Anolis sagrei: one gene and its partners. The protein of the gene in region 1 interacts with the protein of each later gene in a biochemical or structural test. Links are inferred from orthologs where the notes say so. Each region holds a gene or a part of one and is shown in the gene's direction. Other genes may lie near its edges.

Region 1 (7,075 bases):
TGGTGGTGGGTCCATAGTGACTGTGGAGCCCTATTCTTGACCTGCATCTTCTCCCATAGTGAGGACATCAGTTTCCAGGTGGAAGGCGGTCCCGGTCGGGGTTGGCTTGACAGGCCTTCCTCTTGACATGTTTCTCTCTTTCGCCCTCCATTCGAGCCTCTTCAAATTCTACAGCACTGCTGGTCACAGCTGACCTCCAACTGGAGCGCTCAAGGGCCAAGGCTTCCCAGTTCTCAATGTCTATGCCAGAGTTTTTAAGGTTGGCTTTGAGAGGGATTGGCTGGTGACTGCTGGAAGAGCACTTTGGTTTCCTCGATGTTTAATGACAGGCCGAGCTTCTCATATGCTTCTGCAGAGATGTTTAGGGTGGCTTTTAGGTCTTCTTCTGAATGCGCACAGACGACATTGTCATCAGCATACTGAAGTTCTATAATAGATGTTGTTGTAACCTTGCTCCCAAGGAAAATATAACTCTGTAGTGCAGGCATGAGTAAACTTTGGCCCTCCAGGTGTTTTGAAGTCCAACTTCCACAATTCCTAACAGCCTACCCTGGGAGTTGGGAGTCCAAAACACTCCCAAGGGCTTAAGTTGCTGTAGTATCATAGAATCAAAGAGTTGGAAGAGACCTCATGGGCCATCCAGTCCAACCCCCTGCCAAGAAGCAGGAATATTTGGAAACTTGCTGTTCCATTGTGCCTTCCCAGATTAGGAATCCCTATCCCAAGTCCTAGTAGCACTTTAGCACAATTAACATTGCTGCACACCATACTTTAATTCCTACGCCCCTCCTGCCATTTCAGCACTTTTAACCTTGTACCCCTCTCGCCGGCCGAACCAGTTTTAATATGTCTTGATGTATTGTTATTGCTGTCTCGCTAATTTCTGATTTTGATTTGCTTTTTGATTTTTGATTTGCTTCGTTATTACTTGTTACGTTCTCTATTGTATTGTGTGTTGTGGCTTCGGCCTGTGTAAGCCGCATCGAGTCCTTCGGGAGATGCTCGCGGGGTACAAATAAAGTTAATAATAATAATAATAATAATAATAATAATATTGCATTCAAATCACCCCTGACAGATGGCCATCCAGCCTCTGTTTAAAAGCTTCCAAAGAAGGAGCCTCCACCACACTCCGGGGCAGAGAGTTCCACTGCTGAACGGCTCTCACAGTCAGGAAGTTCTTCCTCATGTTCAGATGGAATCTCCTCTCTTGTAGTTTGAAGCCATTGTTTCGCATCCTAGTCTCCAGGGAAGAAGAAAACAAGCTTGCTCCCTCCTCCCTGTGGCTTCCTCTCACATATTTATACATGGCTATCATATCTCCTCTTTTTTTCCCTTTTTAATCTGTGTGTTTGTTTTGCTCTGTTTGAATTGTAATACAATGGTATGGTTGCTGATGACATGATAAATAAATAAATATCTCCTCTCTTCTTCAGGCTAAACATGCCCAGCTCCTTAAGCCGCTCCTCATAGGGCTTGTTCTCCAGCCCCTTGATCATTTTAGTCGCCCTCCTCTGGACACATTCCAGCTTGTCAATATCTCTGTTGAATTGTGGTGCCCAGAATTGGACACAATATTCCAGGTGTGGTCTAACCAAAGCAGAATAGAGGGGTAGCATGACTTCCCTATATCTAGACACTGTGTTAGGGAAGTAATGCTACCCCTCTATTCTGTGTGTGACTGAGTCCTATATCTATATATCTCCTATGTATACACCTTTCTGTTTCACTCTCCTTTATGCAAATACTAAAACCCTCTTCCCTTTCTTATCCCCTCCCCAAGGATTGAAAGTGGTCTCCTGACTTGTCCTCTATTCAAACTCTTTATTATTAGGTTGTTGGTTTTTCCGGGCTATATGGCCATGTTCTAGAGGCATTTTTTCCTGACGTTTCGCCTGCATCTATGACAAGCATCCTCAGAGGTAGTGAGGTCTGTTGGAAGTAGGAAAATGGGTTTATATATTTGTGGAATGACCAGGGTGGGACAAAGAACTCTTGTCTGCTGGAGCTAGGTGTGAATGTTTCAACTGACCACCTTGATTAGCATTTGATAGCCTGGCAGTGCCTGGGGCAGTCTTTTGTTGAGAGGTGATTAGATGTGCCTGATTGTTTACTCTCTGTTGTTTTGCTGCTGTAATTTTTGAGTTTTTTAATACTGGTAGCCAGATTTTGTTCATTTTCATGGTTTCTTCCTTTCTGTTGAAATTGTCCACATGCTTGTGGATTTCAGTGGCTTCCCTGTGTAGTCTGACATGGTGGTTGTAAGAGTGGTCCAGCATTTCTTTGGAGAGAAAATGTATTTATCGTGTCATCAGCAACCATACCATTGTATTACATTTCTAACAGAACAAAACAAACAAATAGATTTAAAAAAACACAGATTTTGCAAACTTGGTAGTTGATTAAATGTCCTTTGACCAGTATCTGGCCACTTGGAGCGCCTCTGGTGTTGCCGCAAGAAGGTCCTCCATTGTGCATGTGGCAGGGCTCAGGGTGCATTGCAGCAGATGGTCAGTGGTTTGTTCTTCTCCACACTCGCATGCCGTGGATTCCACTTTGTAGCCCCATTTCTGAAGGTTGGCTCTGCATCTCGTGGTGCCAGAGCGCTGACTGCTCAGCGCCTTCCAAGTCGCCCAGTCTTCTGTGTGCCCAGGGGGGAGTCTCTCATCTGGCATCACCCACAGATTGAGGTGCTGGGTTTGGGCCTGCCACTTTTGGACTCTTGCTTGCTGAGGTGTTTCAGCGAGTGTCTCTGTAGATCTAAGAAAACTATTTCTTGATTTGAGTCGTTGACGTGCTGACTGAAACCCAAACAGGGGATGAGCTGGAGATGTCTCTGCCTTGGTCCTTTCACTATTGGCTGCTACTTCCCGGCGGATGTAAGGTGGTGCAATACCAGCTAAGCAGTGTAATTTCTCCAGTGGTGTGGGGCGCAGACACCCTGTGATAATGCGGCATGTCTCATTAAGAGCCACATCTACTGTTTTAGTGTGGTGAGATGTGTTCCACACTAGGCATGCGTACTGGAGAGGAAATAATAAGTTTTTTTTTGTCACTTAGGTTTGGAGAGGAAATAATAATAAATTATTTATTTGGAGAGGAAATAATTTATTACAGGAATGGAAATTTGGATCATAGAATCATAGAATCAAAGAGTTGGAAGAGACCTCATGGGCCATCCAGTCCAACCCCCTGCCAAGAAGCAGGAATATTGCATTCAAATCACCCCTGACAGATGGCCATCCAGCCTCTGTTTAAAAGCTTCCAAAGAAGGAGCCTCCACCACACTCCGGGGCAGAGAGTTCCACTGCTGAACGGCTCTCACAGTCAGGAAGTTCTTCCTCATGTTCAGATGGAATCTCCTCTCTTGTAGTTTGAAGCCATTGTTCCGCGTCCTAGTCTCCAAGGAAGCAGAAAACAAGCTTGCTCCCTCCTCCCTGTGGCTTCCTCTCACATATTTATACATGGCTATCATATCCCCTCTCAGCCTTCTCTTCTTCAGGCTAAACATGCCCAGCTCCTTAAGCCGCTCCTCATAGGGCTTGTTCTCCAGACCTTTTATCATTTTAGTTAGATGACGGATTGGATCGCGACTCTGTTATGTTATGAGATGCATTGTGCTACCTGTTGTTGTGTCAATATTGTATATTATGCTTTTATGGTTTTAAATTGTATATTGTTGATTGATGTTTTCCTTGTTGTAAACCGCCTTGAGTCGCCTGCTGGGCTGAGAAACTGCAGTATACAAGTAAAGTAAAGCAAATAAATAAATAAATTATTATTTCCCCTCCAAACCTAAGTGACAAAAAAAAAAAACCCTTTCCTCTCCTTCCCTCCTACCTATCTTTATATATAGAGAGAGAGATTTTTTTTTCTTATTCCTCACACCCTAACCTGATCTTTTTCCTCCCTTCCTTCCCGGCCAAACCTTGAGAGCGCCACCTGATTGGCTGCGACGGGAGTCTCCTCTCTCCGGATTGGCTGAGGCGCGTCGCCCATTGCCAGACTTGTTGTCTGGCTCTGAGGGGGAAAGAAAAGTCTGAAAAGGGAGGAGGAGGGAGGGAAGGCCTCTCTCAGTCTCTCTCTCTCTGGCCTGGGCGGAGGCGCAAAAGCCGCGTAGTAGTAGTAATAGTAACGCCCGCCGCCCTCTTGAGCTGTTGCTGCTTCCTCCCTCCCTTCCTCCGCCCTTTGAGGAGAGAAACACCTCATACAGAGAGAGAGAGAGAGAGAGAGCTGCTGAGGGCGGGAATAATGGGGAAAGAAGGAAGGAAGGGGGAAGTGTGAGGAGGAGGAGTCGAGTGTGAGGCAGAGGAAGCAGGGGAAGAAAGGAAAAGGAGGAGGAGGAGAGAAGGAAGGAAGGAGGGAAGGAAGGGGCTTGTTGCGCCTCCATCTCGCTTTCCCTTCCTAGTAGCAGTGAAGGAGGCGACGACAGCATCCAAGGCCTCGTGAGGGAAGGAAGGAAGGAGGGTTTGGGCCTCCAAGAGGCCGGGGAAAGCAGGCCTCAGTTGGGTTTCATGAGGGGCAGGAAATGACTCCTCAGCCGGGACTGGGCGGCGTTTGAGGCACCTGAAACCGCATATTTTGTCAGGGCGGAAAGAGAGAGAGAAAGGAGGAGACTCGACGAGACCTCTCCTCCCCCCCCCCTTCTTCTTCGCAATTGGAAAGGATACAACAAGGTGGGGGGAAAAACCCGCAAGAGTATTATCGCGAGGAGACCTTTCCTCCCCCTTCTTCGCAACAGGAAAGGATACAACAAGGGGGGAAAAACGCCGCAAGAAAGAAGAGACTGAAACACGGAAAGAAGGAGGAGAAAAAGGGACTGAAACACGCAGAGATTGAGCTTTTCTCTCCTCTGTACAAGTGAGTTGTGGAAAGGATACAACAAACGACAAGAGGAAAAAAATACACCGCAGGAAGAGACTGAAACAGGGGAAGAAGGAGGAGGAGAAAAAGGAGACTGAAACACACAGAAATTGGGACTCAACGAGAGCTTTTCTCCTCTCTACACAACTGGAGTGAGTTGTGGAAAGGATACAGCAAACAAGGAAATAAAACACCGCAAGATACAACAAACGACAAGGGGGAAAAACACCGCAAGAAGAGACAGAAACAGGGGAAGAAGGAGGAGGAGAAAAAGGAGACTGAAACACACACAGAGCTTTTCTCCTCTCTACACAACTGGAGTGAGTTGTGGAAAGGATACAACAAACAACAAGGGGGAAAAACACCGCAAGAAGAGACTGAAACAGGGGAAGAACGAGGAGGAGAAAAAGGAGATTGAAACAAGCAGATATTGAGACTCAATTAGAGCTTTTCTCCCCTCTACACAACTGGAGTGAGTTGTGGAAAGGATACAACAAACAAGGAAATAAAACACCGCAAGAAGAGACTGAAACGGGAAGAAGGAGGTTGCAAAAAAAGGAGACTGAAACACGCGAAGACTGAGACCCGACGAGAGCTTTTCTCCCCTTCTTCACAACAGGAGTGAGTTGTGGGAAGGGTACAACAAACAACGGCAAACGCAAGAAGAAGAGAAGGAGAAAAAGGGGACTGAAACACACAAAAAATTGAGACCGGGCGAGAGCTTTTTCCCCATCTACACAACTGGAGTGAGTTGTTGAAAGGATACAACAACGTCAAGGAAAAAAAAACACTGCAAGAAGAGACTGAAACAGAGGAAGAAGGAGGTGAAGAGAGAGGGAGAGACTCGACGAGAGCTTTTCTCTCCTTCTTCACAACTGGAGTGAGTTTTGGAAAAGGATAACAAACCAGGACAAAAGCAAGAAGAAGAAGAGGCTGAAACACGGAAAGGAGGAGAAGAACGGATCTAATCAGAGAGAAGGAAAGACTTCTTTGGTTCCCTTCTCGACTGAGAGGGGAAAAGTGAAGAGGAGGAAGGGGTTTTGTGGAAAGGAAGCACCAAGGAAAGTCCCCCCAAGAAGAAGAGACTTAAACGAGGAAGAGAATAAAGGATATAATCAGGCAGAAGAAAAGAAGAGATTTTTTTTGTCCCCTTCTCGACCAAAAGGGGAGAAAGGAGTTTTGTGCAAAGGAAGCACCAGGGAAAGTCCTCCCAAGAAGAAGAAGAGACGGAAAGGAGAAGAAGGGAGAGAAACAGAGATTAGACAAGATCTTTTCTCCACTGAGTGGGAAAAAAAGTGAAGAGGAGGAAAGTGTTGTGTGGAAAGGAAGCAACAAAAAGAATAAAAAAAACCAAGGAAAAGGGAGTAAAATACACAGAGAAAGAAGAGTAGAAGAGACTCTAGAGGCCTTTTCTTTTCAACTTAAGAGGAAAAAGTGAAGGGGAGAAAAGGGTTTTGGAAAGGAAACAAAAACTCCCCCCCCCAAACAACAACAAGAAGAGCTTATTTGGCCTCTCTTTTTCCCCCTGGCACTCCCAACTGAGAGTTGTTGCTTCTCCCCTTTGCTTTCGTTTTTTTGTTGGGGAGGAAAAAAATCCACTCTTGGGATTTAAAACGTTGCTGGAAGAACTCGGCGCAGATGGAGGAAATCTGGATGCCTGAAGTCTGAGGTGGGTGGGGGAAATAATTCCCCAAAAATAGGCTAATGGTATTTTTTCTTCTTTTGGAGATCGCTAATACACAGTGTGGGCCAAAAGTCACAAAGATGTCTGATGTTTTTGATGACTTTTTAAAGCAATGAAAAAACAAGATTTTGCAGATAATGTAGTTTTATTTATTTATTTATGTATTGTATATAATGTTTATTCTAAAATAAAGGAGTTCTTAAATATTGAAGCCCCTTTGTGACTTTCGGCCCACCCTGTAGTATTTTTTTTCTATTGGAGGAAGGGAAGTTATATGTATTTCGTTTTGAGTTCATGGCCTATGTTCTTGATCCCCTCCCCCCAATTTTATGCTTTTATGAATTAGGAATTTGACTTCCAGTTTCGGGATGTGTGTCTGTGATCCTTACATGCATTTTCTTGCAGAGAGAAAATCTGGGAGAATTTTTGTTGGGAGGCAAAGCCTCTCAAACAGAAGTTTCTTTGTTCCACAGCAAGAAGGTATTGAATTGAAACTGCCCGATTATGCATTCCTGAGTTTAAAATGTC
Region 2 (7,278 bases), on another chromosome or scaffold:
AATGAGAAACAATTATATATAAATAAACTAATTGCCCTTGTATATATTATACTTAACAAACCAAAATGATGTGGAAAATGAAATAGTAGAAAAACGTTGGTCTCAATGGATGCAAACATAGTGCTAGTCTTTGACATATTGGAAAAATAAAATATAACTAGTGGACACAAATATGGCCACCTTGGGGTGGGAGGAGACTGGTTTTCCTATATCAGATAGTGTATACCTGCATGTCAGGAAGTTGGACTGGATGGTCCTTGCAGTCTCTTTGAACTCTATGATTCTGTAACTTAAAAGGCACTGTTCTTGTGAAGTGACCATGCATGTGCAGTTACATACATCTGATCAGAGACAAGATACGCACATACATACTTTAAGAGAACAAAACATCCACGAAACAATAAAAATGTACAAAATATGCACATAAAACACATATGCTTCCAAAGCTCCACTGGCTTCTTCATTAGGCAAAAGTGTTAACAATCATACAAGAAAAAGAAAAAATGAGAAGTTAGACTCATAGGTCTGTGTTCTCTCAGGGTTTTTGTTGTTGTCAGTTAAGATGTTCTGGAGAGATATCAATGGAATCAGAGGACCTTTGTAGTCATGTGAGCACTGAAACTAAGGCCCAATCCACACCACCATAATACAACTTCAAATGGCATTTTATGACAGTGTAGATGTGGCCAAAAAGCTGTAAAATGAGGGCAATAAAACTGCAACTCCATTAACATCAGAAAAAATAACTTTCCTTTCTGAACTGCTGATTGTTTAAAATACATCAAAAATAGGGTTTCCATTAAGTGTATTGGCTATTACTTGTGTGTGTGAATATGTCACCTGTCTACTTATGGTGACTTTATACATTTCATAGGGTTTTCTTAGGCAAGGAATACTCAGAGGTAGTTTTACCAGTCTATTCCTTTGAAATATATATAGCCCATAGGACCGTATGTGTTGGCTGTCCCATCCAAGTATTAATCAGGCCTGACCTTCCTTCGCATGCAAATCAGATGGGACCTGTTACCTTTAGTAAAGTACATCTCCAAAATCTTCAACAAAATTTGTGGGAAGGATACACACACATGCACACACACAAAGTAAATAAAATATATCTCATATATGTTAGGGACAAATACAAAAATACAGCAGAGTTGAGGGAAAGAAAAGGAACAAAGTGGATTGGCTGTTGCTAGGTGAAGTGGCCCTCTGTAACATACTTGGGAAAGAAAGGGAGGGAAGTAGATTGGCTGCTGCTAAGTGATGTGTATGCAGAGAAGGTAGGGAGGAAGGAAAACAAAGGGAAACAAAGGAAGGAAAAAGGAAAAGAGTGAGAGAGAAGAAAGAAAAAGGAGGGAAGGAAGAGAAAGGAAAGAGGAGAAGCAGGCATGTAGCGGGGGGGGGGGGGGTCTTGAGGGGCTTCAGCCCCCCCCCTGAAATTCTTATGGTGGTTCGCGAAAAGGCCTTATTGGTGCATTATTTAAACTGTTGTTTATTCATATCATGATCTGATCACCATACTCAATATATCCCATATGCATGGAGAAGTGGGTAATGATACAAAAGGTTTGCTAGGGTAGACCCTTTTTCACTCAGACACAGCCCCCCCCCCCAAACTCAGCCCCCCCAAAAAACCCTGACAAAAACTCAGCCCCGCCCCTCCCCCCAAATCGAAATCCTGGCTACGGGCCTGGGGAGAAGGTATGAGGGAAGGGAAAGAAAGAGAAAGGAATGGGAAAAAGGGGGGGGGGAGGGAGGGAGGTTAGAAAGAAAAAGAAGCGAAGAGAAGTGAAGGAAGATAAAGGGAAGAAAGAAAGAAAATGTGTATGAGGGAAACAGCAGAAGAAGGAAAAAAAGAGCTGCAAAGAAAATGCAAACCCGGACAACAGTACTATTTAAAAGGCATGTTGCCTGTGTGGCTTTAATCTATTTGATGAAGACGTTTCTGAGGATGCATTTATACTGTAGAATTAATTCAGTTTCACACCACTTTAATTTTCATGGCTCAACGCTATGGTGGCATGGGATTAGAAATTTTACTAGGCATTTAATCTTCTCTGCCTGAGTTCTGCTTCCCATCATCATTAGCCGTATTTATGTATTTTAATTGTTTTGTAACCCACCTCGAGCCATGAGGAGAGGCGGGTAAGGAATATTATCATTATCATTATTATTACAGGATTCCATAGTGCAGAGCCATGGCACTTAAAGTGGGGTCAAACTGCATTAATTACACAGTGTAGATAACTTTGGCCCTCCAGGTGTTTTGGTCTTCAACACCCACAATTCCTAAATATTAGGAATTGTGGGATTTGGCGTCCAAAACATCTGGAGGGCCAAAGCTTTCCCATGCCTGGTGCACCCTGAGTGGTGAGGAAACAGTAGAGTTTACTTAGGGCACAAGTTCCTGCTGTTATTGGTTCCCATTCTCCCCCCAGTTCCTCCCTGGGGTGCATCTACATCAGGCAGGGGCAGACTTTGGCCCTCCAGGTGTTTTGGACTTCAACTCCCACAGTTCCTAACTGTTATGAATAGTGAAAGTTGGAGTCCAAAACAACTGGAAGGCTCAAGTCTGCCCAGGCCTGATATAGATGCACCCCGAGAATAGTGGAGGAAACACTAGACCAGTGGTTCTCAGCCTTTGGGTCCCCAGATGTTTTGGCCAACAACTCCCAGTAATCCTAGCTAATTTACTAGCTGTTAGGGGTTCTGGGAGTTGAAGGCCAAAACATCTGGGGACCCACAGGTTAAGAACCAGTGCAGCAGAGTTTACTTAGAGCAGAAGTTCCTGCATTTCTTGCTGTTATTGGTTCCCATCCTCCCCCATTACCTCCCAGTTCCTCCCTGGAGTGCATCTATACCAAGCATGAGCAAACTTTGGCCCTCCAGATGTTTTGCACTTCAACTCCTACAATTCCTAAGTGTTAGGAATTGTGGGAGTTGGAGTCCAAACAACCTGCAGGGACGAAGTTTGCCCAGGCCTGGTGTAGATGCATCCTGAAAGTGGTGGGGAAGCAATAGAGTTTACTTAGGGCACAAGTTCCTGCATCTCTTGCTGTTATTGGTTCCCATCCTCCCCCATTACCGCCCTGGAGTGCATCTACACCAGGTATGAGCAAACTTTGGCCCTCCAGGTGTTTTGCACTTCAACTCCCACAATTCCTAAGTGTTAGGAATTGTGGGAGTTGAAGTCCATGCATCTCTTGCTGTTATTGGTCCCCATCCTCCCCTCATTACCTCCCAATTTCTCCCTGCATCTACACCTGGCAGGGGCAAACTCTGGCCCTCTAGGTGTTTTGGACTTCAACTCCCACAATTCCAAACTGTTAGGAATTAGGCTTGGGCAAACTTCAGCCCTCCAGGTGTTTTGGACTCCAACTCCCACAATTCCTACAGGTGTTTTGCACTCCCACTCCCACAATTCCTTTTAGGAATTGTGGGAGTTGGAGTCCAAAACACCTGGAGGGCTGAAGTGTTTTGGACTCCAACTCCCACAATTCCTACAGGTGTTTTGTACTCCAACTCCCACAATTCCTGTTAGGTGTACATCAGGCCTGGGCAAACAGTGTACATCAGTGTACACTGTACATCAGGCCTGGGCAAACTTCGGCCCTCCAGGTGTTTTGGACCCTAACTCCCACAATTCCTGTTAGGAATTGTGGGAGTTAGAATCCAAAACACCTGGAGGGCCGAAGTTTGCCCAGGCCTGATGTACACTGTAAATTGGAACGCAGCTTGAGCAGACATTGACTGCCATGGCTCAATCCTATGGAATAGTGGGAGCTGTAGCTTCAGAAGGCCTCGAGGTTGCTGCTCGGCCGAAGAGTGCTGGTGCCTCACCAAATTTACAACTCCCAGGATCCCCCAGCATGGAGCCTTGGCAGTTGAAAACGGTGTCAAACTGTAGATGACTGTAGCGGGGTGTGGAGGTGCGAGAGAGCCCCTCTCCCTGGGCCGGGCCTGACCTGAAGGAAGTGCAGCTTCCCCCCTTCTTCTCCTTCTCCTCGCCTGCTCGCCCGCCGGCCTCTTCACAGCATCGGTAACCCTGGCAACCTCAGCTGGCTCCGCCATTGGGCGGTTTGAGCCCCGCGGCGGGCCAATGGCGAGGCGTCTCGCGGCGCGCTCCTCCAATCGGGGCGAGGCGCAGGGCAGGGCGAGGCGCTGACGTCTGGCGGAGGGGCGGGGAGAAGCAGGCGGCGAAGGAAGGGAGGGAGGGAGGAAGGAAGGAGGGTTTCGTGTTTCTCCTCAGCGGTGGCGGCACCGGGACCATGGGCGCCCCGGGGTAGGGCCCTTCCCGGCCGGCGGGGAGGCGGCGGTGGCGGCCCCTCCGCGCCAGCGAAGACTCGGCGCCGCGGTGAGTGAGGGAGTGAGGGAAGGAAGAGCGTGAGGGAGGGAGGGAGGAGGGGAGGGCGCGGGGCCAGGTGGGTCGCCTCCCTGCATCCTGAGGCAGCTCCTCGCCACCCTCACCCCCGCCTTGCCCTCTCCTTCTTCCAGCAACTTCCCTCCCTGTGGGAGACCAAGGGGAAGAAGGCACGAGGCATCCAGCCTGGCTCGCCTCTTTCCCATCCTTTCCTCCAACTTGCCCCTCCTTGTGGTCATATTATTACTTTATCGCATTACTAGTATTATATTGTTGTTAGTGTAATTATTACCCCCCATTTTGACCTCCCATTGCGAAACAGGAGAGTTTCAAGTGCCCCCTCATTCTCTCAAAACTTGCCAACCTCCCTTGAAATCCTCGTGGTATCATCATCATCATCATATCATTATTTTTTATTACATTTACATGTATTTGTTTCAAACAGGACGGTTTCAATTGCCCCCTCATTCTCTCAAAACTTGCCAACCTCCCTTGAAATCCTCGTGGTATCATCATCATCATATCATTATTTTTTATTACATTTACATGTATTTGTTTCAAACTGGAGGGTTTCAAGTGCCTCATAATTCTCCCAAAACTTGCCAGCCTCCCTTGAGATCCTTGTGGTATCATCACATCATTATTTTTTATTATATTTACATGTATTTGTTTCAAACAGGAGGGTTTCAAGTGCCCCATCATTCTCCCAAAACTTGCCAGCCTCCCTTGAAATCCTCGTGGTATCACCATCATCATATCATTTTTTATTATATTCAAATGTATTTATTTCCCATGGTCAATGTAATGTGTCTCCTTGGTTTGGTTATGCTTAGCACTGCTTCCTCTCTGCTTATCTTGTCTCCTTTTGCTTCCTTTCTCATCCCACTTTACGACTCCCAAGATCCTTTCTTTTACCCTCTAAGTAACCTTTGCATCGCCCCTCTCCCCCACTATATCTTATTTTTATTATATTTACGGTGTAATTATTTCTCATCGTCAGTGTGTCTCCTTGGTTTGGCTCTGCTTAGGACTGCCGCTCCTCATAAACATTGCTGCTTGTCTTGTCTTTTCTCGTTTCCTTTCCCATCCCACTTTCCAAGATCCTCTCCTTTACCCTCTAAGTAACCTTTGCATTGCCCCCCTTCCCACTATACCTCCTCCTTCCTTATCTTCCCATCCTAAGCATAATTCCCCCTCCCCCCTTTCTCTTTATCTTCAGGGTGCTTTCCCCCCACCCATTTCCCTATTTTACTTATTTTCTTTTGTAAATCAGCAGTGGGTGCTCCATCTTATCATCCTGACAATATTCTGCTTCCATCAACTCTGCCTTCTGTGTCTTCCCATCCTAAACATTTTATTTATTTATTTCTTATCCTAAGAGTGTGTTGTGGTGGAGCAATGGGTTAAACTCTTGTGCTGACAGGGCTATTGACCAAAAGGTCAGCGGTTCAAATCCGGGGTGCGGGGTGAGCTCCTGTCTGTCAGCTCCAGTTCACCATGTGGGGACATGAGAGAAACCTCCCACAGTGTGGTCAAACATCCGGGTGTCCTCTGGGCAACGTCCTTGCAGACAGCCAATTCTCTCACACCAGAAGCGACTTGCAAATTCTTAAGTTGCTCCTGGCACAATTTTAAAAAATTCTAAGGATGCCCATATCCATCAGTTTCTTGTTCAATTTTTTTAATATAAATAGGCTCCACCTTAGCTGTCCTCCTATCTCCTGTAACAACTTCCTTTATGCAGATTCCGCCACCTCCTTTTTATTACTTGTCTCCTTTGCCCTTCCTCGTGTAGTTTGGGCTTACTGGTTGAAATGGGTACCATTCTATACAGCACCCCACGAGTCTTTTACTAGAACATAGACTCTCTTAATGTTTCCATTTGTCCTGAAATAACTCCCTCCCCACTCATCTCACGATATTTATCTCCCCTGAAATTCCTCTCATTGTAACTTGCTATTCTTCCTCACCAGGAATTTACCTGATGTCCTTCACTCCCTGAACATTGCCTTTTGAAAAAAAATCCTGGCCTTTCTTTAATTTTTGGCCCCTTGTTAAAAGGGATGCGCTCTAATTTCTGTAAAGCTTTTCACTCCTTATCCTGTATCTGATATTGCCTTTTAGTTATCTGTTTACTCCTGTGTGCCTTTTTCCCATTCCTTGAGTGCCAGTAACAGCTCTCCTCCTGACTAGTATGCACAAACCTGTTCATGCCTCCCAAACCCTGACAATTCGCTTTCCATCCCTTCAATTCTATTTCCATTCCTTTGCCTCAGCCTTTCTCTCCTTGTCGTTGCAGGCATTTCTTCCTGCTTCTTCGGCTTCTTAAAAGCCCTTCCCCTCATTTCCCTGTTCCCTCGGCTCAGTCTTGGCCCTCCAAAAACCCTTCTTTCTTAACCTGTATAGTCTACCCTCACTCGACCTCGCCCCATCTTGTATTTCCCCCATTTGCTTGTTAGAGCTCCTTGCATCTAAGCTTGAGGAGAGAATCCATAGAGTGCCAGTGGCATTTTCTCTTTCTCCCCGCTCTCTTTCTCCCTGTCCTGGCTTTCCTCTGAAGCAGACCAGACCTCACAACTCCTATGCCCCTGCAATCACTTTGTAGGGGGAAGACTGGGAGGGGTAGTGGCTGCTTGCCTTTTTGGCTGCATGTTTGAGGAGTGCGACAGACGGACGGAAGCGGTTGGCTCTCTGGGCGAATGGGAGGGCAGGTGTGTGTGCTTGTGTGTGGGAGGGGGCACGTAGTTTGCTCCTGGAGCTTTCCGATAGTGCAGGAATGTGAGGAATGCCTAGGAAGACTGCTGCAACAGATCCGCTCCTTGCCCAGCTCTCTTAACAGCCAAAGGTCACTGGACCATCTATCCAGTAGGAAGCCGCTGCATGCATGCTGCAGAGAGAGAGCGAAAGCGTGTGGGAGC
Region 3 (7,883 bases), about 110 Mb from region 1:
TTGGTGTGATTTCGTTCATTGGTTCTTTTGTTTTTAAGGTACTCATTAAGCACAGTGCATTTTTATATATAGAGAAGATATAGATTAACAGCAGCTGCAGCCCACGGGTAGTGGAGATACCTCTGTGTCATTTCCACAATTGTCCCACACACTTCACTTCCCTAAGCTGGCATTTGCCATATGGAGGGAAACACTGAGGCTCATATAGGGCAGGCATGGACAAACTTTGGCCCTCCAGGTGTTTTGGACTTCAACTCTCAGAAATCCCAGCCAACTTACCAGATGTTAGGAATTGTGGGAGTTGAAGTCCAAAACACCTGACGAGGCGAAGTTTGCCCTTGCTTGAGTTAGGGGAATAGGGTCTGTTTGACTCTCCACTGTTTATATTGGGTATTGTTGATTGGATTTGCAGATCGACGTCTGGAGAACCTAGTGTTGTGTAGGAAACTGTATGTTTTGCTCTGCAGGACAAATAAAAGATTGGAAGGACAATTCTGATCAGTTCCATTTCGTTTATTGCTCATAATGCTTAGGTCATCATGATGTTCATTTTCCTTATGTTGTAGCATGCTGACCTAAGCATTATGAACAAATCTTACCAAGAATACCCTGTGACAGGTTTTACTTAGGGCTGCCAAAGCTCACAAATAATTTGAATGCACATAACTGGTGACGCAGTGGATTAAACCGCTGAGCTGCTGAGTTTGTTGACAGAAAGGTCAAAGGTTGAAATCCAGGAAGCGCCTTGAGTTTCTGCTGTCAGCCCCAGCTTCTGCCAACCTAGCAGTTCGAAAACATGCAAATGTGAGTAGATCAATAGGTACTGCTCCAGTGGGAAGGTAACGGCACTCCATGCAGTCATTCGGGCCATATGACCTTGGAGGTGTCTACAGACAACGCCGGCTCTTGGTCAGTAGTAATTTAAAGCAGTTATTTATTTATTTTGAACATTTTTACCCCACCCTTCTCAACCCCTAGGGGGACTCAGGGCGGCTTCATTGCAGCATCATAAAATACAAAATAGAAAATTTAATAATTAAAAACATGAACATTAAGAAATAAAGATTAAACAGTATACTTATGATCCATTTAACTATTGCCAGTCTGGTGGCTATTTATTTAGCCATATACTAATGATTACTCTGCTTAACTTATCCAAATTCACTTCCAAGCCATAGTCAAACATTATCAATAGTCCTTTAACCTAATTGCCCAAAGGCCTGGTCCCACAACCATGTTTTTACCTTCTTTCTAAAGGTGAGGAGGGATGACGATGACCTAATTTTCCCAGGAAGCGAATTCCACAGGCGGGAGGCCACCATCGAGAAGGCCCTGTCCCTTGTCCCTGCCATATGTGTTTGAGACAAAGGCGGGGCCGAGAGCAGGGCCTCCCCAGAAAATCTTAAGCTCTGAGGTGGGACGTTGAAGGAGATACGTTCAGACAGGTATGCTGGACCAGAGCCGTATAGAGTTTTATAGGTCAAGACCAGCACTTTGAATTGTGCTCGGAATTGGATCGGCAGCCAATGGAGCGGACACCATGGGGGGTGGGTGGGTATGCTGCTTGTATGACGCTCCGGTGAGTAATCTAGCTGCCACCCTTTGGAATAATTGCAGTTTCTGAACAGTCTTCACGTAGAGTGCGTTGCAGTAATCTATCCGGGATGTGACAAGAGCATGGACCACTGTGGCCAGATCCAACTTCCCAAGGTACGGGTGCAGCTGGCGCACAAGTTTTAACTGTGCAAAAGCGATCCCAGCCACCACCGAGACCTGGGGTTCCAGGCTCAGCGATGAGTCCAGGATCACTCCCAAGCTGCGTACCTGTCTTCATGTGTAGTGTAACCTCATCCAACACAGGCGGTAACCCTATGCCCTGTTCGGCCTTACGACTGACCAGTAGGACCTCTGTCTTGTCTGGATTCAATTTCAATTGGTTAGCTCTCATCCGGCCCGACACAGCAACCAAACACCAGTTCAAGGTTCGGACAGCCTCCTTGGCTACTAACTAGCTGTGCCACAGATAGATAAATAGAAAGATATTGTGTGGATATGTCTGCATGTACCTTGGGAAGTTTGACTTGGCCACAGTGGGCCACACTCTTGTTACATCCCAATTAGACTACTGCAATGCGCTCTACATGGGGCTGACTTTGAAGACTGCCCGGACACTTCAACTAGTCCAACAGTTGGCAGCCAGGTTGCACACCAGAGTGGCGTACAGGGAGTATACAACTCCTATTACACCAGCTCCACTGGCTGCTGATCCGCTATCGAGCACAATTCAAAGTGCTGGTTGTAACCTTTAAAGCTCTAAACGGTTCTGGCCCAGACTATATGTCCGAATGTATCTCCTGCTACGAATCATCATGAAGTTTAAGATCATCTGGAGAGGCCCTGCTCTTGATCCCACCGCCGTCGCAAATGCTATTGGTGGAGACGAGAGAGGGCCTTCTCAACAGTGGCCCCCATCTGTGGAATTTCCTCCCCAAAGACATCAGACTGGCCACCTCCCTCCTGCCTTTAGAAGGAAACTTAAGACTTGGCTGTGGGATCTTGCATTTGACCATTGAACAGCGGCTTGTATGAAGAAGACATAAGCAATTTCGAAGTGACAATGAATTGACCTGAATCCGGATTTTTATTGGCGTGTTTTAACAACTGTTTCTTTAATGTTTTGTTTTAATGAATTGGTTGATTGTTTTTATCATTATAAGGGCACAGAATGGTGTTTGCTTTGAGGCCGCCCAGGGGTGAGAAGGGTGGGGTACAAGTATATGAAATAAATAAATACATACATGTATATCTATGTATATATTTATGCTTATAAGACTTTTTACTGTTAGCCCCAGGTTCTGCCAACCTAGCAGTTTGAAAACATGCAAATGTGAGTAGAGAGGCGGCCCTAGGTAATTTTCAATGGTAAGCAAACAGTATCCCCCCCCCCCCCCAACCAATCATTGATATATATTTTCTGTTCGTCGTGGGAGTTCTGTGTACCATATTTGGTTCAGTTCCATCATTGGTGGAGTTCAGAATGCTCTTTGATTGTAGATGAACTATACATCCCAGTAACTACACTTGCCACACTTGCTCCCTTGCCTGGCCCGCTTTGGATCCAGAGGCGTGCCTGAAGACCCCGGCGTGTGCACCAAAAGTCACCTCTTCTCCTGACTTTCTCCTCAGCCATTGGGACCGAGAGAGAGAGAGAGAGAGACAGAGGTGGAGATGCCCACCTTTCCTGAAGATAGGTGCAAAAACAAAGGAGGGAGCGGAGGTAGGAGACACCTCCAGCTGGAGGGTCTCTCTCTTTCTCTCTCTCTCTTGGTCCCAATGGCTGAAGAGAAAGTCAGGAGAAGAGGTGACTTTTGGTGCGCATGCTGGGGTCTTCAGACATGCCTCTGGACCCGAAGTGGGCCAGGCGCGACGGCTCCGCCCCTTGGCCCACCCGCAGATTGGGGAAAGGAGAGGAGGCGGGTGGAGCCGGTCATGGAAGCTTTTAAGCAGAGGCTGGATGGCCATTTGTCAGGGGTGATTTGAATGCAATATTCCTGCTTCTTGGCAGGGGGTTGGACTGGATGGCCCATGAGGTCTCTTCCAACTCTTTGATTCTATGATTCTATGATTCTATGGGAGCCGGTCATGAGAGCCGGTCATGAGAGCCGGTCATGGGGAAGGGATCGAACGCAGAGAACGATTGAGCACAGGCTCTGCTCGCGCACCCGGTGGCCGGGTGGAGCAGGAACAAGAGGCGCTAGGCGAGGCTCAAGGGTCTGGCCCCTTTGGGAAGAGGATCACCCGGCAGCGAGGCAAGAAAGCCAAGGCGCCCCCCGGACTGCTAGGGCTGTTGTGAGCTGAGGGGGTGCTCCTCAAGTGGCGGTCGAGGGGCATTTACAGAGGTTCCTCTGCGCCCCTGGCAAAAAAAAGTGTTCTGCGACCGCTTACTTCGCGTAATGGACGAGCCAGCCCTGAATAGATCAATAAGTACTGCTCCAGTGCAGGCATGTAGCTGGGGGGGGGGGGGGGGGGCTTGAGGGGCTTCAGCCCCTCCCCTGAAATTCTCATGGTGGTTCACGAAAAGGCCTTACTGTTTAAACTGTTATGTTTATTCATATCATGATCTGATCACCATACTCAATATTTCCCATATGCATGGGGATATTGGGGTAACAATATAAAACGTTTGCTAGGGTAGACCCTCTTTTACGCAGACTCAGCCCCCCCCCCCCCCCCCCCCAAACAAACTCAGCCCTTGAATCGAAATCCTGGCTACGGGCCTGCTCCAGTGGGAAGGTAACAGTGCTCTATGCAGTCATGCCAGCCACATGACCTTGAAGGGTCTGCGGACAACGCCAGCTCTTCGGCTTAGAAATGGAGATGAGCACCACACCCAGAGTCGGACATGACCGGACTTCACGTCAGGGGAAAACGTTTACCTTTTATAAGACTTTCAAACCAGGAACAGAAAAAAAAATCAAATTTTGTTACATAGTGCTATAGATTGAGGTCTGGGAAGTGGAGCTGCAATCCCCACTCAGCCTTGGGAACCTACTGGGTGATCTTGGGCGAGTCACACTCTCTCAGCCTCAGAGGAAAGCAGTGGCCATACCCCATCTTAAGAAATCCTGGGGTAGGTTCGTTTGGGGGTTCCCCATGGGTGAGAAAGGGCTTGGAGTTCCCCAATGACAACAAGAACAGCAGCAGAGATTGGTGGGGGCTCTCTACTCCCCCCCCCCAAATGTACGCGTCCCCTTTAAGAGGCGGTCCCAGCCCTCCACGTGCCGCGGCTGAGTGACGGCCACACATAAACAGAGCGGCAGAAAGGAAGCCGCGCTTGACCGATAATAACCTCCTCGGCGCAGCGCCGGCGGGATCTATATAAGGCGCTCCGGGTCCGGGACTGGCCCTGGTTTGGCCCCAGCCGCGTCGGTGGGAGCCACAAAGGAAGCCGGAGGAGCCCCCGATCGAGTGGCTCCCCGATCTACTCCGGGAGGTCTTTCCAATTCCTGGCCGGAGGGAGAGAAAAATCGCCTCCCCATCAAACTGGCGAGGAGGTAATCATAACAACAACAACAACAACAGGGTGGAGGGGGGCAAACTTGGGGAGGAGAGTCAGAAGGGGGTTATTTCTTCTCACCCTCTTTGTCCCACGGGTGGATCTTTGTGTACTGAGAACAAAAAGAGACCAGAGGATGTCTGAGCGTGTGCAGAGTGCTTTCTCCTGCCTGCCCCGTCAATTGTTTGTCTTCTTAGCTCCAGGCAAGGAAATGTGGGGGAATTGAGTCGTTGGCAAGGTGTCCCAAGGCTTTTCTGACCCAATTTGGGGTCATCGGGATTCGAACCCGGGGTCAAGAGTGGCTTGAGACCCAAAGTTGGGGGGTTTGTTTGGATGGGAGTTACTGGAAAGGCGGAGGAGGGGAAAACACACTCCTTTGTCCTTTCTGGCTTGGAAAGGACAAAGAAGAAGAAGGCGGTGATGGGTTAGGAAAGGGAACGTTTGGGGAGCTGTCCCAGCCCCACAGCTCAATCCTATGGGAATCCTATAGTTCTGCATCACCTTTAGCCTTCTCTGCCCAACTCCCAGGGACAATTCCTAGGCTACAACTCCCAGGAACCCAATAGCATTGAGTCTTGGCAATGAAAAAGTGGGGTCAAACTGCCCTGGTTTTCTAGTGGAGATGGAGCAATCGCTCACCAAAGGAAAAGCACACATCCCTCAGGACTCTCGTTGTCCAGCTTCCCCCAAATGTCTCTATGGTGTTGGTGTACCCACAAGCTTCATTGACATTGAACTTTGAAGATTGGGCATGTAAAAGAAAGGGAAGAAAGACATACAGGAAGTATTGAGACACAAAGCAGAGGAAAGCTGCTTTTGTTCTTTTTCTCTCTCACACACTTTTCTTTCTCTCTCTCATACACACACATTTTCCTTCCTTCCTCTCTCTACTCCTTCCTTCCTTCCTTCCTTCCTTCCTTCCTTCCTTCCTTCCTTCCTTCCTTCCTCTGTACACAGTTTTCTTCCTTTCCTTCCTTCCTTCCTTCCTTTCTTCCTTCCTTCCTTCCTCTCTCTCTCTGTCTCTCAAAAACACTTTCCTTCCTTCCTTCCTTCCTTCCTTCCTTCCTTCCTCTCTCACACATTGTTCCCTTTCTTCCTTTCTCTCACACCTTTTCTCTCTCTCTCTCTCTCTCTCACACACACACACACAACCTTTTATTCTTTTCTTCCTTCCTTCCTTCCTTCCTTCCTTCCTTCCTTCCTTCCTTCCTCTCTCACACACTTCTCTCTCTCTCACACACATAGTTTCCTTCCTTCCTTCCTCTTTACACACTTTTCTTGCTTTTCTTCCTACCTTCTTTTCTCTCACACACTTTCTCTCTCTCTCACACACACACACACATCCCTTCCTTCCTTCCTCTCACACACTTTTCTTCCTTCCTACCTTTCTCTCACACACTTTTCTTCCTTTCTCTCTCTCTCACACACTCACTTTTCTCTCTCTCTCTCTCACACACACTTTCCTTCTTTCCTTCCTTTCTTCTTCTCTCACACATTGTTCTCTTCCTTTCCTTCCTTTCTCTCACACACTTTTCTTCCTTTCTCTCACACACTTCTCTCCCTCTCTCGCACACTCACTCACTTTTCTTCCTTCCTTCCTTCCTCTCTCACACATTCATCCTTCCTTCCTTCCGTCCGTCCTCTCTCACACACACTTTTCTTTCCTTCCTTCCTTCCTTCCTTCCTTCCTTCCTTCCTTCCTTCCTTCCTTCCTTCTGTCCTCTCTCACACACACTTTTTTCCCTTCCTTCCTTCTTTCTGTCTTTCACACACTTTTCTTTCTTTTCTTCCTTCCATCCTTTCTCTCACACACACTTTTCTTTTCTTCCCTCCTCCCTCTTTCCTTCCTTCCTCACACACTTTTTCGTCCTTCCTTCCTTCTTTCCTTCCTTCTTTCTTCCTCTCTCTCTCACACACATACACACACACACTTTTCTAATAATCACCACCACCATCATCATCACTATCATCTTTATTTGTTTCCTGCCCCATCTCCCCAAGGGGACTCAGAGTAGCTCAAAACAACCCAAACAATAAACAGTAATAAGATTAACAATCTCTTTAAAATTAGATCGGCAAAATAACAATACAAAATCAATATGGAAGTAAAAGAAGACATATTAAATATGGTATTATTATGTTATCAGTATATAAAGCATCACCCTTCCTTTCTCTCACACACTTGTCTTCCTTTCTCTCTGTCACACACTTTTCTTTCTTTCTTTCTTTCTTTCTCTTTCTCTCACAAATACTTTTTTCCTCTGCTGCTGCTGCTTTCTCGGAAAGTGCCTCCAGTTGGGGCTGCTGAGACGAGGCGCAAGATGTACTGACAGAGAAAAAGGCACAAGACAAAAAACAAACCCACACAGCTCCAAGTTGCACGAAATGACCGAGAGTAACCCCGGCTTGGAAGGAGAGCTTAATGAAAGCCAGCAGCCGGGCAAATGCCTGTATGCCTGTCTGTGGAGGTCTTTGCCAGGCTAGGGCTTTACTTTAAGCTGCATGTATGCAAGCAAAGCCACCTCTGGCTAGTCCTTGCCTAAGAAAACCCTCGGAAATCCACAGGGTCACCGTAAGGTGATTTGAAGGTGTACAAACACACATGTATGTGCAGTCAGGCTTCCATATGTGTAATGTTATACAGTGGGGTGTCCTGGAACCAAATTCCAGCAGACACCAAAGATACATTGGGTTGCTGTGAGTTTTCTGGGCTGTATGGCCATGTTCCAGAAGCATTCCCTCCTGACATTTTGCCCACATCTATGGCAGGCATTCTCAGAGGTTGTGAGGTCTGTTAGAGACTAGGTAAGTGGGGTTTATATATCTG

Evidence for each region.
Region 2: the proteins of ERBIN (region 1) and PKP4 form a complex in vitro, tested with the Homo sapiens proteins (4 studies listed by BioGRID and IntAct, with this or other methods). The link is inferred for Anolis sagrei from reciprocal best matches to the Homo sapiens genes ERBIN and PKP4.
Region 3: the proteins of ERBIN (region 1) and ABCA1 interact in a test that uses a peptide from one of them, tested with the Homo sapiens proteins (2 studies listed by BioGRID and IntAct). The link is inferred for Anolis sagrei from reciprocal best matches to the Homo sapiens genes ERBIN and ABCA1.

What each region holds. Positions count from the first base shown.
Region 1 is NC_090022.1:267,864,933-267,872,007, reverse strand, and holds the start of ERBIN (erbin), read left to right. Parts: upstream 1-4,039; 5' UTR 4,040-6,532; intron 6,533-7,075. UniProt on the Homo sapiens protein: Acts as an adapter for the receptor ERBB2, in epithelia. By binding the unphosphorylated 'Tyr-1248' of receptor ERBB2, it may contribute to stabilize this unphosphorylated state.
Region 2 is NC_090021.1:201,404,697-201,411,974, reverse strand, and holds the start of PKP4 (plakophilin-4), read left to right. Parts: upstream 1-4,201; 5' UTR 4,202-4,354; intron 4,355-7,278. UniProt on the Homo sapiens protein: Plays a role as a regulator of Rho activity during cytokinesis. May play a role in junctional plaques.
Region 3 is NC_090022.1:158,798,737-158,806,619, reverse strand, and holds the start of ABCA1 (phospholipid-transporting ATPase ABCA1), read left to right. Parts: upstream 1-4,806; 5' UTR 4,807-5,054; intron 5,055-7,883. UniProt on the Homo sapiens protein: Catalyzes the translocation of specific phospholipids from the cytoplasmic to the extracellular/lumenal leaflet of membrane coupled to the hydrolysis of ATP.